Arabidopsis thaliana: one gene and its partner. The protein of the gene in region 2 interacts with the protein of the main gene of each other region in a biochemical or structural test. Each region holds a gene or a part of one and is shown on either strand. Other genes may lie near its edges.

Evidence for each region.
Region 1: the proteins of PIR121 (region 2) and ROP2 form a complex in vitro, tested with the Arabidopsis thaliana proteins (one study listed by BioGRID).

What each region holds. Positions count from the first base shown.
Region 1 is NC_003070.9:6,963,275-6,970,477, forward strand, and holds ROP2 (RHO-related protein from plants 2), read left to right. Parts: upstream 1-3,567; 5' UTR 3,568-3,948; coding exon 3,949-4,044; intron 4,045-4,342; coding exon 4,343-4,430; intron 4,431-4,515; coding exon 4,516-4,625; intron 4,626-4,706; coding exon 4,707-4,770; intron 4,771-4,918; coding exon 4,919-4,983; intron 4,984-5,065; coding exon 5,066-5,131; intron 5,132-5,230; coding exon 5,231-5,329; 3' UTR 5,330-5,735; downstream 5,736-7,203. Other genes in the region: SYTB (Calcium-dependent lipid-binding (CaLB domain) family protein), read left to right, coding at 4-105, 186-260, 365-441, 528-774, 853-1,203, 1,288-1,413, 1,507-1,638; AT1G20100 (DNA ligase-like protein), read right to left, coding at 6,040-6,545, 6,635-6,905. UniProt on the Arabidopsis thaliana protein: Inactive GDP-bound Rho GTPases reside in the cytosol, are found in a complex with Rho GDP-dissociation inhibitors (Rho GDIs), and are released from the GDI protein in order to translocate to membranes upon activation.
Region 2 is NC_003076.8:6,100,000-6,107,441, reverse strand, and holds the start of PIR121 (transcription activator), read left to right. Parts: upstream 1-2,461; 5' UTR 2,462-2,576; intron 2,577-2,650; 5' UTR 2,651-2,658; coding exon 2,659-2,712; intron 2,713-3,025; coding exon 3,026-3,098; intron 3,099-3,181; coding exon 3,182-3,246; intron 3,247-3,386; coding exon 3,387-3,464; intron 3,465-3,801; coding exon 3,802-3,921; intron 3,922-4,007; coding exon 4,008-4,078; intron 4,079-4,173; coding exon 4,174-4,266; intron 4,267-4,450; coding exon 4,451-4,520; intron 4,521-4,609; coding exon 4,610-4,674; intron 4,675-4,819; coding exon 4,820-5,015; intron 5,016-5,124; coding exon 5,125-5,276; intron 5,277-5,380; coding exon 5,381-5,474; intron 5,475-5,563; coding exon 5,564-5,773; intron 5,774-5,843; coding exon 5,844-6,055; intron 6,056-6,157; coding exon 6,158-6,302; intron 6,303-6,388; coding exon 6,389-6,557; intron 6,558-6,654; coding exon 6,655-6,731; intron 6,732-6,828; coding exon 6,829-6,999; intron 7,000-7,110; and 4 more. Other genes in the region: AT5G18420 (CCR4-NOT transcription complex subunit), read left to right, coding at 18-168, 246-383, 795-866, 942-1,015, 1,101-1,242, 1,453-1,537, 1,704-1,804. UniProt on the Arabidopsis thaliana protein: Involved in regulation of actin and microtubule organization. Part of a WAVE complex that activates the ARP2/3 complex. Interacts with the active form of RHO-family GTPases.

The sequences.
Region 1 (7,203 bases), on a different chromosome or scaffold from region 2:
CAGGTGATTGATTTGCAAGTTTACGCTACTCCAAGGATTACTCTGAAGCCTTTGGTTCCATCATTCCCCTGTTTTGCCAACATATTTGTCTCTCTTATGGATAAGGTATAATTCAAACCGGAGCAACCTTATTTTGTATAATACCTTAAAACTCAAGAGAGTCTACAATGTGATATCTTCTGCAGCCACAAGTCGATTTTGGACTGAAGTTACTAGGTGCAGATGTAATGGCGATTCCTGGCTTATACCGATTTGTCCAGGTAAAGACGTTTTGGAAGTTGTTCCTTTAACTTCCCATGTAAGGAAACATTCTTGTTCGGACCTGAAACTCTGTTTCTTGTGTTATTGTTTATTACTATTGTAGGAAATCATTAAAGATCAGGTTGCAAACATGTACCTATGGCCAAAGACTTTGAATGTTCAAATAATGGATCCTTCTAAGTAAGTTCTTTTTTTTTCTTGTCAAATGTCACACTTGTGTTACTATTTGAAATTTTTGTTATAATTCAATTTTGCGCAATCTGCAGAGCTATGAAGAAACCTGTTGGATTGCTTAGTGTGAAGGTCATAAAGGCAATAAAGCTTAAGAAGAAGGATCTTCTGGGTGGATCAGATCCTTATGTGAAATTAACACTCTCTGGAGACAAGGTTCCTGGTAAGAAGACAGTTGTTAAACACAGTAATCTGAATCCTGAATGGAACGAAGAATTCGATTTGGTTGTTAAAGAACCAGAGAGCCAAGAGCTACAGCTCATTGTTTATGACTGGGAACAGGTAAAACCAGTTTGTGAATTGGCTTGTTTCAATAATTGCTGGAGATAATTTGCCTTATGTACACTTGATATATTTCAGGTTGGTAAACATGATAAGATAGGAATGAATGTGATTCAACTCAAAGACCTTACACCAGAGGAGCCAAAACTCATGACACTCGAGCTCTTAAAATCCATGGAACCAAAAGAGCCAGTTAGCGAGAAATCGCGTGGACAGCTCGTGGTTGAAGTCGAATATAAACCTTTTAAGGATGATGATATTCCAGAGAACATTGATGATCCAAATGCAGTAGAGAAAGCACCAGAAGGCACACCTTCTACTGGTGGCTTGCTTGTGGTGATAGTTCACGAAGCTGAAGATCTAGAAGGCAAATATCACACTAATCCTTCTGTTCGTTTGCTATTCAGAGGAGAAGAGCGTAAGACAAAGGTATATATAAAACTTCTCTTAAAACTCAAAATGGAAACATATGAGAGGACATCAAATTTTACACATTTTGGTTTGATTTTGTAGCGTGTGAAGAAAAACAGAGAACCGAGATGGGATGAAGATTTTCAGTTCCCATTAGATGAGCCTCCCATAAACGATAAGCTACACGTTGAAGTCATAAGTTCTTCTTCAAGACTAATTCATCCCAAGGTAGAAACAAAATCAGATCTCTCTTTAAAGATTGCATCAAAATCGTATCTCTGAGAAAGCAAAAACTAACATTTTGATATATGATTTGATCAGGAAACTCTTGGTTACGTGGTGATAAATCTTGGGGATGTTGTGAGTAATCGGAGAATCAACGATAAGTATCATCTGATTGATTCCAAGAATGGTCGTATTCAGATTGAGCTTCAGTGGAGAAATTCTTCTTGACTTCAAAGGTTCGTGTTTTCTTCTCTTAGGGTTCACGAAACAACACTTTTTGTTTGCCTTCCTTCCTATGTACGTAAAACTTCTATATTTGTTGCATGTTGGTTGCTATGGCTCGATTCGAAGAATAATGGGTTACACAGTATAATGGGCCACGTATAAGCCTTATAGTTCATATGGATTTTATTGTTTGGACCTTTTGGTTTATTTCTTGTGACATTTTCTGATAGTTTTTTTTGTCGTTTCTGAATTATTTTGCAGCTTATTGGATTATGGCAATAGTGATTATGGATTGTCTTTTTCATCTATTTCTTAGAGAATTCTGGTCAGTAATTGAATTATTCTATCAAAAAGGAAAAAAGATTTTTGAACAGAAAAGAAGTGAAGTTAGTTAATAAAGAGAGATTGGTCACTGGTTGGTGAATACTGAATAGTTGGTAAGCTACTAAGCTTAACTTCTTTGATATCATGATTTGGTTAATTCATACTTTTCGTGTACAATTTAGTGGTTTGTGCTACTATCATTGAATGTGATTATTTAAATCCAAATCCACATGATAAATGTTTATTAAAAAAATTATGAGTGGTTAAATTAACACATAATTTTGTACGATTTATCACGGTCATTTGATAAATATTTGTGGATAACTTTATTACATTTCTAATTTTCATTATTAAACTCAGTAAGCATATAATCAATATAAGCAATTTCTTTTTTGGTCAGCAATATATATATATATATATAGTCTTATGGAATGAAAAAGTTGAAAATAACACATGATGGCAATTAGCTACTAATTCATCAAGTTTGACAAATAATTATAAGAAGCTACCGTCTGGTGTGATTATGATTAGGTGATGGGACAATCAGTGACGTGGTGGATCGTTAGTGGATTGATTTAGTTAGAGTTGGGCACGTCCCATTGGACTCTAGTCGCCTATGTTTCGTAATCCGAGGGGAATCGAAAAGAGAAAATAAGTAAAAACATCATAAATAAGACATTTATGAATCGTGCCGGCACGTTCTTGATGAGTGAGAGTTGCCAAATCCAATGATTAAAGATTTCATTCATGCCTCTTCGTATTTTGCTTAAGTCTCTCTCGTATGCCATTTTTTTTTTTTTTTTGCTATACTATAAAGTCTATCTTAGATCATTTGAATTTACCTCCCTTGATACATTACATACGAGAGAACTGGCAGTTGTAGAAGATGTTGTGAATGGGAGTCTTATAACTGGATATGCGGATTCAAATTCGCTAGCTAAAGAAAGTTTTTATTTGAAGAAAATCTATAGTTTTGAGACGGTATAATATTTTACCAATTACTATTTGTAAAATAATCGATACATGGTTAAACTAAGTAAGATAACAACTTTTAGTTGTTGTTTTGGTGAAATGATAAACTTCTATGGAATTCTTATCTTGTTTTGGTAGGTACCAAGAGGATTAGACAGATAAGCGACTTCGTTTACTGCTAATATTGATAATCAAAACTTCGTTAGCTATGTTTTAATAAAGTTGTGAACAAAAAGAATGTTATGGAAAACTGCTCAAAACTGGATAAGTCTCATGCCAGTAAGAATCAAAGTGGCAGTGCAAGTCCAAAGACACAACACACTAGGATTTTGAAACTTGCATTGTTCAGACAATATATGATAGTTCAAAATATTACCTTACTAAGATTTCTCTAGGCTTCATGTCAATGATTTAGTCCAAATTTAAGAGACAATTTTAACTCAAAACAACAATGAAAATATGTATCACAATAAAAAAGTGTTAAACGAAATATATTATTAAAAACATTTAAAAACTGTTGAGAAACCAAAGAGATAATACAAAAACATTCATGACAATTGTATTTTTCTTGTTGTTTAAAAAAAACTGACAGATCTTCTCCATTTCAAAATTCAAAATCCGTGACATAAAAGAAAAGAGACTTTCAAAATTTTGAAAAAAGAAAAATAGAGGTGAAAATAAAAAGTATAATATAAATAAAAGGGGAGTGAGTGTATATGATAAGGAGGTGTTTGGTGCTGTTCTCTTAGCTGTCTCAGAGTTGTTGTTTTTCTACTAGTCCCCTCCTCCTATAGGCTCCTCTCAAAGTCATCTATCAACCGCCAAATCAACCTTCTTCTTCTTCTTTTCCTTCTCTCTTCGATTCTTTTTCGAATTTGGGTGATTCTCAGATTCACAAGCTTTTAGAGCTCGAATTTGATTGGCGAGCTAGAAATGTCGAGGTTTTGAGGAAGAAGCAACCACAAAAGAGGATTGATTTTAAGGGCTTTTTTGTTTGTTTCCGATCTTGCGGCAGAGATGGCGTCAAGGTTTATAAAGTGTGTGACCGTCGGAGATGGTGCCGTCGGAAAAACTTGCATGCTCATTTCTTACACTAGCAATACTTTTCCTACTGTAAATCTTTCCTCTCCTATTTCAATATCTCTTCGGTTTCTTATTTTTTTGTTGAGCTCGTTGCAAGAGTAGATTAGTGATCTGCAAGGTTTTTGCAAATTGGATTCAGGTGTAGATTTTAGGTCATGGAGCTGTATACTAGAAATTGATCAATTTCGTTACAACTTTTTTTGTTTTAAGACTTTGAGAATCTAGGCCAAAGTATTGATCTTGAAGCTACTGTGTTTTGTTTTTGCTTTTTATAAAGGATGATTTTGATTATAAGGTGTAAATCTGTGACTTGTGATTGGTGTTTCAGGATTATGTGCCAACTGTTTTCGACAACTTCAGTGCTAATGTGGTTGTTGATGGCAACACTGTCAATCTTGGATTGTGGGATACTGCTGGTAATTCTTTCGTTTCACCGTTTGGGATTTTCCTTTTGTTTCGGTTGTTTTTGACTTAGTTTGTGTTTGTGGGGTTTGTTAACAGGTCAAGAGGACTACAACAGGTTACGACCTTTGAGTTACCGTGGTGCTGATGTTTTCATTCTTGCTTTCTCTCTTATTAGCAAGGCTAGCTATGAGAATATAGCCAAGAAGGTTTGTCTCTCTTTTGCTGATAAATCCTATACAGTTTGTGTTGATGAGTGATCTTATTTGATTTCGTTCCTCCTCTCTCAGTGGATTCCTGAGCTCAGGCATTATGCTCCTGGTGTTCCCATTATCCTTGTTGGGACAAAACTCGGTAATCACACACTTTCCCTATTGAACTGATCATGCTATTTTTTTGACTGAAAGATCTGTGGTTACGTTCCTACAAGCCTTGTGACACCAACGAAGTTGTTAAGTTTTCTTGCAAAATTTGATTGTTAAGTCACTGGTATTTGCTGCAGATCTTCGAGATGACAAGCAATTCTTTATAGATCATCCTGGTGCTGTGCCAATTACTACAAACCAGGTACATATCCTTTTAAACGAATAGTCTTGCAATGATTGCCAGTTCTTAATAGAATTGTCTGATGTTGTTTTGAATGATGCAGGGAGAGGAACTGAAGAAACTGATTGGATCTGCTGTCTACATTGAATGTAGTTCAAAGACACAGCAGGTATACATAACAAATCGCTTGTCCTGTTCCTCACTGTTTGCAATATTTGATCTTATCAAGAGGGTGAGCTTTATTTCTTTCCTTTTGGTGTTTCTGCAGAACGTGAAGGCAGTGTTTGATGCAGCTATAAAAGTGGTGCTTCAGCCACCAAAGCAGAAGAAGAAGAAAAAGAATAAGAACCGTTGCGCGTTCTTGTGATAAGAAAAACCTCTAAGACTAGGTAAAACCAACTAAAGAAAGAAGCAGAAGATGATTTCAACTATTTGATTCGGCCCATTTTAATATGATAATTTCGACGTGAAGGGAGACATTTCTAGTAGCTTTTTTGTATAGTTGCTAAAACGAGCTTTGTTGTTGTTGTGTCTTTTACTCTTTGCTGGTGAATCTTTCGAGTCCACAGACTAAGAGACCGTGTGTTGTACTCTTGCTATGTAGACTAATCTCTGTCTCTCTTCTCTTTTGTTCTTGAGGATCATTTTGTATTAACAAATGAATCTAATTAATATTTGCAACGTTTATTTTGTTTTTAAGAGCTCTTGTTTTCTGCTTCTTTCCCACAAGATGTATATTCATGTGATCTTACCAAGCATCATGCTTAAAGAGATCTTTCTCCAGCTGCCTAAGCAAGAAGTTAAACTGGGGAACGGCTAAACCAGTCAACTTCTTGCAAGAAATTGCTTATTTAAAAGTAGCCAGCTTTTGCAATCGCATTGATCAATTCAACCAAAAACTTCCAGTTGACAAAAATCATGTAGACGATAGTTTAGTAAGTGGAAACCATGATTTTTGATTAGTGTCAAAAATACAGAGATCGTTCAAGTATCATAGATCACTGTGATTGTTACAATGATAACTGTACAAAGCTAAGGCCTAAGGCTAAGCTGAGAAAGAACAAAACAATATGGGACCTAAAACGGGACAGTATATGGTAATGAAAAAATTCCAACTTCAGACAATAACATAGCTCTAGGCAAAGAGGAACAATCTCTTGACGTCTGCAAGCTCATGATCGTGTCTTCATCAGTCTTATAAGAAGACTTGGCAGAAGAAACATTTTCTTTCCGACTTGTTCCAAAAAGCCAGTCATCGCTGCTGCTATCATCTTCCTCCAAGGAAATACAGGGAGGAACTAATTCATCAAACAATGAATTGTACCGGGATTCTTTGCTAGGCTTATGTTTCTTTCTCTTCTTTGATTCGGAAATAATTGCTACCTTGCCACTCTCAAGAGAAGTTGAGGGTACAGCCACATCATGATCACAGATACTTGGAAGAGAGACAGAACTTGGTAATTCGCTAGGTCTCTGAGTCCCTGAAGTGGAACAAACAGGATCCTCTTGAGGTACAGCTTCAGCTTCTTTCGGTTTCTTGAAAACAATACGAATCCGTAGTGGTTTACCAGCTACAGGTGTAGCTGCAAATGATTAAACGTCTCTGTTTCAGTATATGTATTCAAACACAATAAAGATATTCATCTAATCCGGGAAGAAACAAAGCACAAACCTTTGATTTGACTCTCAACAACAGCAGGAGAAGTTTCCCTTCTTCTCTTCTTACTGTTCTGGCTACCATCAGACAAATATCCAACCTGAGGTTGCTCAAATTCTTCTGTTAAACAAGATTTCTCAAGCTGTTCGGATTCATATGAGACTGTCTTGGTTGTGGAATACTTCTGTTCAAGGGATTTCTTCTCTTTCTTTAATTTCTTTTCTTTCTTTTTCTCCTTCTTCTCTTTCCGATGCAGCTTTTTAGAATCAACTATTGGTCTTTCGATCTTTATAATCCAATCAGAATAAAGGATTTAGACTAGAGGAAGGATTTATCAGGCAAACAACCAGATACCCATATACGTGGGTAACATCATTCAACCACAAACACACATAATGTTAATTACTCAAAACATATATCTACAACGCGTCTTTATGGTTGACTTTATAATTGGAGACCAAACCAAACTAACATACATGTCTACACGACATCGTTAAGAACGAAATTCATTATGCTAAAACATGTATAGTGTAGATTCAATTCATAGATCTATGCTGAAGATATTTTCCTACAATTTAACCAAT
Region 2 (7,442 bases):
GTCAAATAATCTTATAGGTTTGATGTGCAAGCTGGAGTGAATCCCAGAATTGGATCTGGTGATAGGGATGAGGCACTATCTGGATTCTTAGGAAATTTGACAATGGGGGGATTAGGTCCTAGGTGGATCCGTCCATGTCCACCAAGGTACCCAGTTCATCAGAGCGAGGTAAAAATAAGAATAACCCCTTATTCAACTGGTTCAGAAAATTATCGAACTGACCTAAATGGTTCAACTTCTTACAGTTGCTTTGGATTGACCCTGATAACAAGCATGAGCTTGTTTGGGACGATAAAATGTGTGCTGATACTAGCAGTGGTGCAACAGTTAGAGACTTGCTTGTTAAGGGTTTAAAGGTGACACTTTCACCTACGGAGCAAGAGGTATGTTATCGCTCGTTAATTCTTGATATGCGCATAAAATCATACAAGTATTGACCATTTTATTACCTATCTTACTCTAACACTTATAAGCAAGTTAACATAGCAATGGGACAGTAACTACATATGCACAAATTTTAAAGGTTGTAAAGGCAGCCATTGTATGGCAGTAGTTTTGAGAGAGAAGTCGTGCTCGTGCTATCACTCTAGTATTTCCTTTCTCATTGGATTTAAAGATCTAGGATATTAAGAAGGAATTGACTGCAGTAAGAGTTTATGGAAAATAACCGTGCAATAGATAAATAGTGATTGTGATGTTTTATTTCATCAGCCTTGCCCGTATAGCTGATGAATTTAGAAAACCTGGATCTTTTGAGTGATTGAAATAACTTGTTTTATTTATTTACTGGCCAGGACATCATTACAGAATTGGCAAATGACCCAAAGCTTGTCTTTCACTGCGGAATAACTCCACGGAAGCTGCCGGTATGTGATTCATTTTCTGGCAGGTGGTTTTTTTCTTTTTTCTTTTTTTCATGTGATCTAGTTTCTTATTCTCAGCAATTAGTAGAGCACAATCCTCAGATAGCAGTTGAAATTCTCACCAAGTTGAATAACTCCACAGAGATTAATGAGTAAGTCATCACCTTATTGGTTCCACCATTTACTTTCGACCAAAATTATAACTTTTAAAGTGGGAATCTAAGAATGCTTCTTCAGCTATTATGAAGCTCTAGGAAATATGGACATGAGCCTGCACTCAATGGAAGTTGTGAATAGGCTCACAACTGCAGTTGAACTTCCCAAGGACTTCATACGGATGTACATCACTAATTGCATATCGTCTTGTGAGAACGCTAAGGTATTAAAACAAAGCGTCCTTTTGATTTCCCGTTAGGTACTTAAAACAAAGCTTTCTATGAGTATCCATAACGCCATCCTATAATCTTGTGTGAAAAAACTTCTGCTTGTGCTTTGCATTATGTGCTTTGTGTATATGATTCTCGGATTTGTTGATTTCAATGTAGTTGTTTTGTTAACGGTATAGTGATATATTGTTTTCGATCTGTAGCAGCAAGACAAATACATGCAGAATAGGCTTGTACGGCTTGTTTGCGTCTTCTTGCAAAGCTTAATTCGTAACAAGATCATCAACGGTATGCATTCTCTGTTTCTGACTGATTGCTATCAAATTAGGCGTTTTGCTTTGCTAATAACACAGAAAGATCACTAGATACATTCACAGAGGAAGCTTTTATAGTCTATTAGTATGATGTACAATTGTGGGTGATATATGTTTTTTTTGGGTAAAAAATGTAACAGTGAAGGATCTATTCATAGAAGTTCAAGCTTTCTGCATTGAGTTTTCTCGGGTTCGAGAAGCAGCTGGTCTCTTCAGGCTTTTGAAACAATTGGATGAATAATTTACTCTTTCTTCTTCTTCTTCTTCTTCTAATCATCTTCGTCTCCATTTTATTGTATTCCCTATTTTTGTAGCTAAAGAAAGTACTTTATTTTGAATCCAAGACAGTTTTCGCTTTTTCTAGAGTTTCATTCTCAATTCATATGTTTTTACAACAAAAATTTCTGGTTAGACTTAGACGGCATGTCCTTTCCATTAGGCTACTAACACTTAACCGTGAACGGTTTACATGCTCACACCGATAGCACCAACACCTGCTGGTTCTTATCCGGATTGGTTTAAGGCTCCGGTTAAACCTTAAAAGTTGTTACTGATTCTACAAAGTAACTTATTTTATGTTCAGTAGTTGTTCACTGTAAAATTGTATTTATATCTATTTTGTTTTGTTACTGGTATTACTCTTATGTATTTTCCCAAAATAAGAAATGGTTGAGGATAAAGGAATCAGTAAATAATGATTTAGCTGTCATCAAGTTTGCTTCATAGTAAAGACACAAATGTAATGCTTCTTCTCAAAGCTTTAATCGGATTGAACAAATATGTACTAAAGAAAAATTCTGAAAGGTGAAAATACAAACGAGGACCCAAAAAGAAACATTTTTTTTTTGTTACAGAAAAACAAATAGAAAAAGAAAGCTTCCAACTTTGCGAAATATTTGGTTCGGACAGAGTAGTAGCGAATTTATCGATCTCTGTCCGTAAAGAATCAGAAGAAAGGCGAATCAATTGACTTGAAGTAGTAGCAGCTCTCCTCTCCTCTCCATTGTTGTTGGGTAAGAGCCTTAAAGTTGAAAGCTTTATCCTTTAGTCGCCCAATGTTGCTAATTGCTTCGTCTGATCTTTCCAGGTGACTCAATGGCGGTTCCTGTAGAGGAAGCAATCGCAGCTCTTTCCACATTCTCCTTAGAGGTAACTTCGATATTCTAGATTTTGGTAAAATTTAGAAATTGTGGGTCTTTGGATCCTTTTGACTACAAATTTTCTTTCCGGAGTTCATATTTCAAAATTTTCTTCTAGAAAGGATATGAAATTATTGTTTCTATTTCTTGTTAAATCCTTTTCGTGTAAAATTATCACATATATTGTTTAATCACCTGTGGATCTTTGCCTAAGTTAGCAGTAAAATAAGTTTCAACGAAATGTTGAAGATTTAAGTAGCTTCTTGAAAAATTTGAAGTCACTCTAGTACATTTTCTTGAAGCATTTTGAATTTTGGTTATAGGATGAGCAACCAGAAGTCCAAGGACCGGCTGTGATGGTTTCAGCTGAAAGAGCAGCAACCGATAGTCCCATCGGTATGCTTCATTGTTCTCTTGTCACTCTTTTACCATAAAATCCAAATAATCAAGATGTTTTTTTTTTTATTACTATTCTGTAGAATATAGTGACGTCGCTGCATACCGGTTGTCTCTATCAGAAGACACAAAAGCTCTTAACCAGCTGGTATATGGCTATTCTTCTTCATTTGCCTCATCTTAGAAAGACTGATTAAATTACGATTTGATATTTTTACGGTTATGTTGTGTTAATCGTGTTATATTTGAATACTTCAAGTAAGTTTTCAACCAATTGTATATATGCAGAATACACTTATACAAGAAGGAAAAGAGATGGCGTCAATTCTATACACATATAGAAGTTGTGTCAAAGCACTGCCTCAGGTCCTTGTGAAATCTATCACTACACTCCTTGTCTCCATTGCATATCTACCTTTAGACATTTTATCTGATAAAATGTAGCTTTGAGAATTATGCTATGCGTTAGTTCTTCATGGTATTCGAAATCTCGTAGCAACTGTACGAGACTCTTTTTTGAACTACAAAGTATAATGCAGTTATAATGCAAAAATAAAAGCAACAACAAAGTTCTCTGTATAAATAATAGCGAATGATAGAAATTACTGAAAATAATATCAAATACAGTACTTCTTGCTGGGTGTTGTTGTGTATATTTCTTCCATAACACACATAACTTTCTTTATTAATGATATACATGCAGCTTCCCGAATCTATGAAGCATAGTCAAGCGGATTTGTATCTAGAAACATATCAAGTTTTGGACTTAGAAATGAGCCGTTTACGCGAAATTCAAAGATGGCAATCGTCGGCTTCAGCTAAAGTGCGGTGTATATCCTTCCTCGTCCAACTCGTTTTATATAAATTCCTGTATCAGAAATAATGTGCGTATATTCTCTGTCTGTGCAGTTAGCTGCTGACATGCAGCGGTTTTCCAGACCTGAACGGCGGATCAATGGTCCCACAGTCACACATCTTTGGTGGGTTATAACTCTTATTTTGTGTTTTGTATTAGATCCTTGGATGATTAACTTTCCTCGTGTATATAGTTTAACTGTGATTTTACTTAATATAGGTCAATGCTAAAGTTGCTTGACGTCTTGGTTCAGCTGGATCATCTTAAAAATGCTAAAGCTAGCATTCCTAATGATTTCTCTTGGTATAAGAGGTGAAAGATATAATACTTTTATCTTTCCTATCTATATTTTCTGCAAATAGGACACTTGAATGTAGGTAGATCGATGTTTGTTACTAATCCTTTCAGCTACTAAAGCTCTATTTAAGAGTTGAATTAGTTTCCTAGAAGCTTTTTTTTTTAGTTTATGTTCTTAAGATAGTTTCACTCTTTTCAGAACATTCACTCAAGTCAGTGCGCAGTGGCAAGATACAGATACAATGAGAGAAGAGTTAGACGACTTGCAGGTGTTTGCATGGCTTGTTTATGCAATCATTTGATAATGCCTTCCCCTGTGGTTTGTCGTAAATGAAAATGTGAGTTCTTATGTATGCAGATCTTCCTGAGCACAAGATGGGCTATTTTACTCAACCTGCACGTTGAGATGTTCCGTGTAAACAAGTATCCTTTCTTCCAGACATTTATCACCATCGTGTGGCTGTTAAAGACATTATTATGGGTTTGTCTATCTGAGATATGCATGCTGCTCAAGTCCCTTGTGCCATTTGACTATATTGCAAGCTTTTGGATTCCTTAGTAAATTCAGTGTGGAAGATATTCTCCAAGTTCTCATAGTCTTCATCGTGGAGTCTCTGGAGTTGGATTTTGCACTACTTTTTCCTGAGCGGTATATTCTTCTCCGGGTTCTACCTGTTCTTGTTGTCTTAGCAACACCATCTGAGAAAGATACCGAGGCTTTATACAAGAGGGTAAAACTCAACAGATTGATAAACATTTTCAAGGTATTGAGATTCATGTTATACCTGTTTTCGCATTCACAACCAATATACCGCAAAGCCTTGTTTCCAAGTCGCTAATTGTCATATTTGTTGTGTGTTTTTCGGCTATCAGAATGATCCTGTCATTCCTGCGTTTCCAGATCTCCATCTTTCTCCTGCTGCAATTTTGAAAGAATTGTCGGTATACTTTCAAAAGTTTTCATCACAGACTCGCCTTCTGACTCTTCCAGCACCTCATGAGCTCCCTCCACGTGAAGCGCTAGAATATCCTTTAATATTTTCACTGTTACTTGCCTATTTTAACTATTATCTGGATTATTGTTAACCGTACACATGCTTTGAAAATTGCAAGCCTTAACATATTTTACATATCAGAGGCACTATTTGATAGTCAATCACATTGGAGCTCTCCGTGCTGAGCATGACGATTTCACAATCCGATTTGCTTCATCCATGAATCAGGTGCTCAAGCTATCTCTATCCCTGGAGCTCCAATTTTCTTGTTCTTATTTTGAGTCTCTAGGATGTTGTTCTCACTTGCTTTCATGCAGTTATTGCTGTTGAAGTCAAACGATGGAGCATATACTGAATGGTGCAGAGAGGTCAAAGGAAACATGTACGATATGGTTGTTGAAGGTTTCCAACTGTTAAGTAGATGGACAGCACGCATTTGGGAGCAATGTGCTTGGAAATTCTCTCGCCCATGTAGGGATGCAGGAGAGACTCCTGAAGCCTCCGGATCATATTCTGATTACGAGAAGGTAATACTTGTGAAATATTTTCGAAAAGTTTTATCTTTTATGGTAACAAGTTTTGGATTCTTTTAAATAGGTGGTGAGGTTCAATTATACTGCAGAAGAAAGGAAAGCCTTGGTAGAACTTGTTGGCTATATAAAGAGTGTAGGATCGATGCTGCAGCGCTGTGACACATTAGTTGCAGATGCTTTATGGGAGACAATACATGCCGAAGTTCAAGATTTTGTACAGAACACGTTAGCCACAATGTTGCGTACCACCTTCCGAAAGAAGAAAGATCTCTCAAGGTGAATTGGTTTTCCTTTATTTTCTTTCTGTTTCAAGTCCATGTTCTCTTAAACTTAAGCTTTGCATATTGTTAACTTATCATATGTATGGTTGCATTTCAGGATTCTTTCTGATATGCGGACACTTTCAGCTGACTGGATGGCAAATACCAGGCCCGAACATGAGATGCCATCTTCACAACATGGAAATGATGAAAGCAGAGGGAATTTCTTTTATCCGAGGCCTGTTGCCCCAACAGCAGCACAGGTTTGGGTCCATTTCAAGATGATTTTAAGTACAACAACAGATGGTAAGATCCAGTGCTTGAACTTCTTGCTTTTTTGTTGTTTCAGGTGCATTGCTTGCAGTTTTTGATATATGAGGTTGTCTCTGGTGGAAATCTGAGGAGGCCAGGGGGATTCTTTGGAAATAATGGCTCTGAGATTCCTGTTAATGACTTAAAGCAATTAGAAACTTTTTTTTACAAGCTCAGCTTTTTCTTGCACATATTGGACTACTCGGGTAACCCACATGCTTAAATGTCTTTTTGGTTGGTTTATTGAGCCATATCAATAGCTTTGTAAGCTGACTCCTCAACTTCAATTTACGATGGCTGCAGCAAGTATTGGAATATTGACTGATCTGGGGTTCCTGTGGTTTAGAGAATTTTACCTGGAGTCTTCACGTGTTATTCAGGTATGCGGAATTACAAAAAGGTTATAACTATATTTTGCCACTTTGTTTTCACTGCAGCCCTGACTTGTTCTTACAAATTATACGTTCATTACTGCAGTTCCCGATTGAGTGTTCACTACCATGGATGCTGATAGACTACATTCTGGAAGCCCAGAATTCAGGCCTTCTTGAGAGTGTTCTGCTACCTTTTGACATTTATAATGACTCAGCTCAACAAGCTCTGGTTGTTCTGAGGCAGAGATTCCTCTATGATGAAATTGAAGCTGAGGTAATTAGATTTCAATTCTGATCTCAACAGGTATAATCCTATAGGTCTTCTTGAATGAAAAGGTTCCTTGAACAATACTATCGTTTCTTGTCTCCTGTCTTCTTTCTGTAGGTGGACCATGGTTTTGATATATTTGTTTCAAGGCTCTCGGAGTCTATATTCACATATTACAAGAGTTGGTCAGCAAGGTACCTAATTACACGGTTTTTGATATATTTACCCCCTTCACTGTTAACTAATGAGGAACTAAACCCTTTTATCATCCATTGTCGAGTTCAACAGTGAGCTTCTTGATCCATCATTTCTCTTTGCCTTGGACAATGGTGAAAAGTTCTCCATCCAGCCTGTGAGGTTTACTGCGTTATTTAAGATGACAAAAGTAAAGGTGAATAATAATACTACTCTCCTGTTATAGAGAAAGTCACAATTAGTTGAATCTTTAG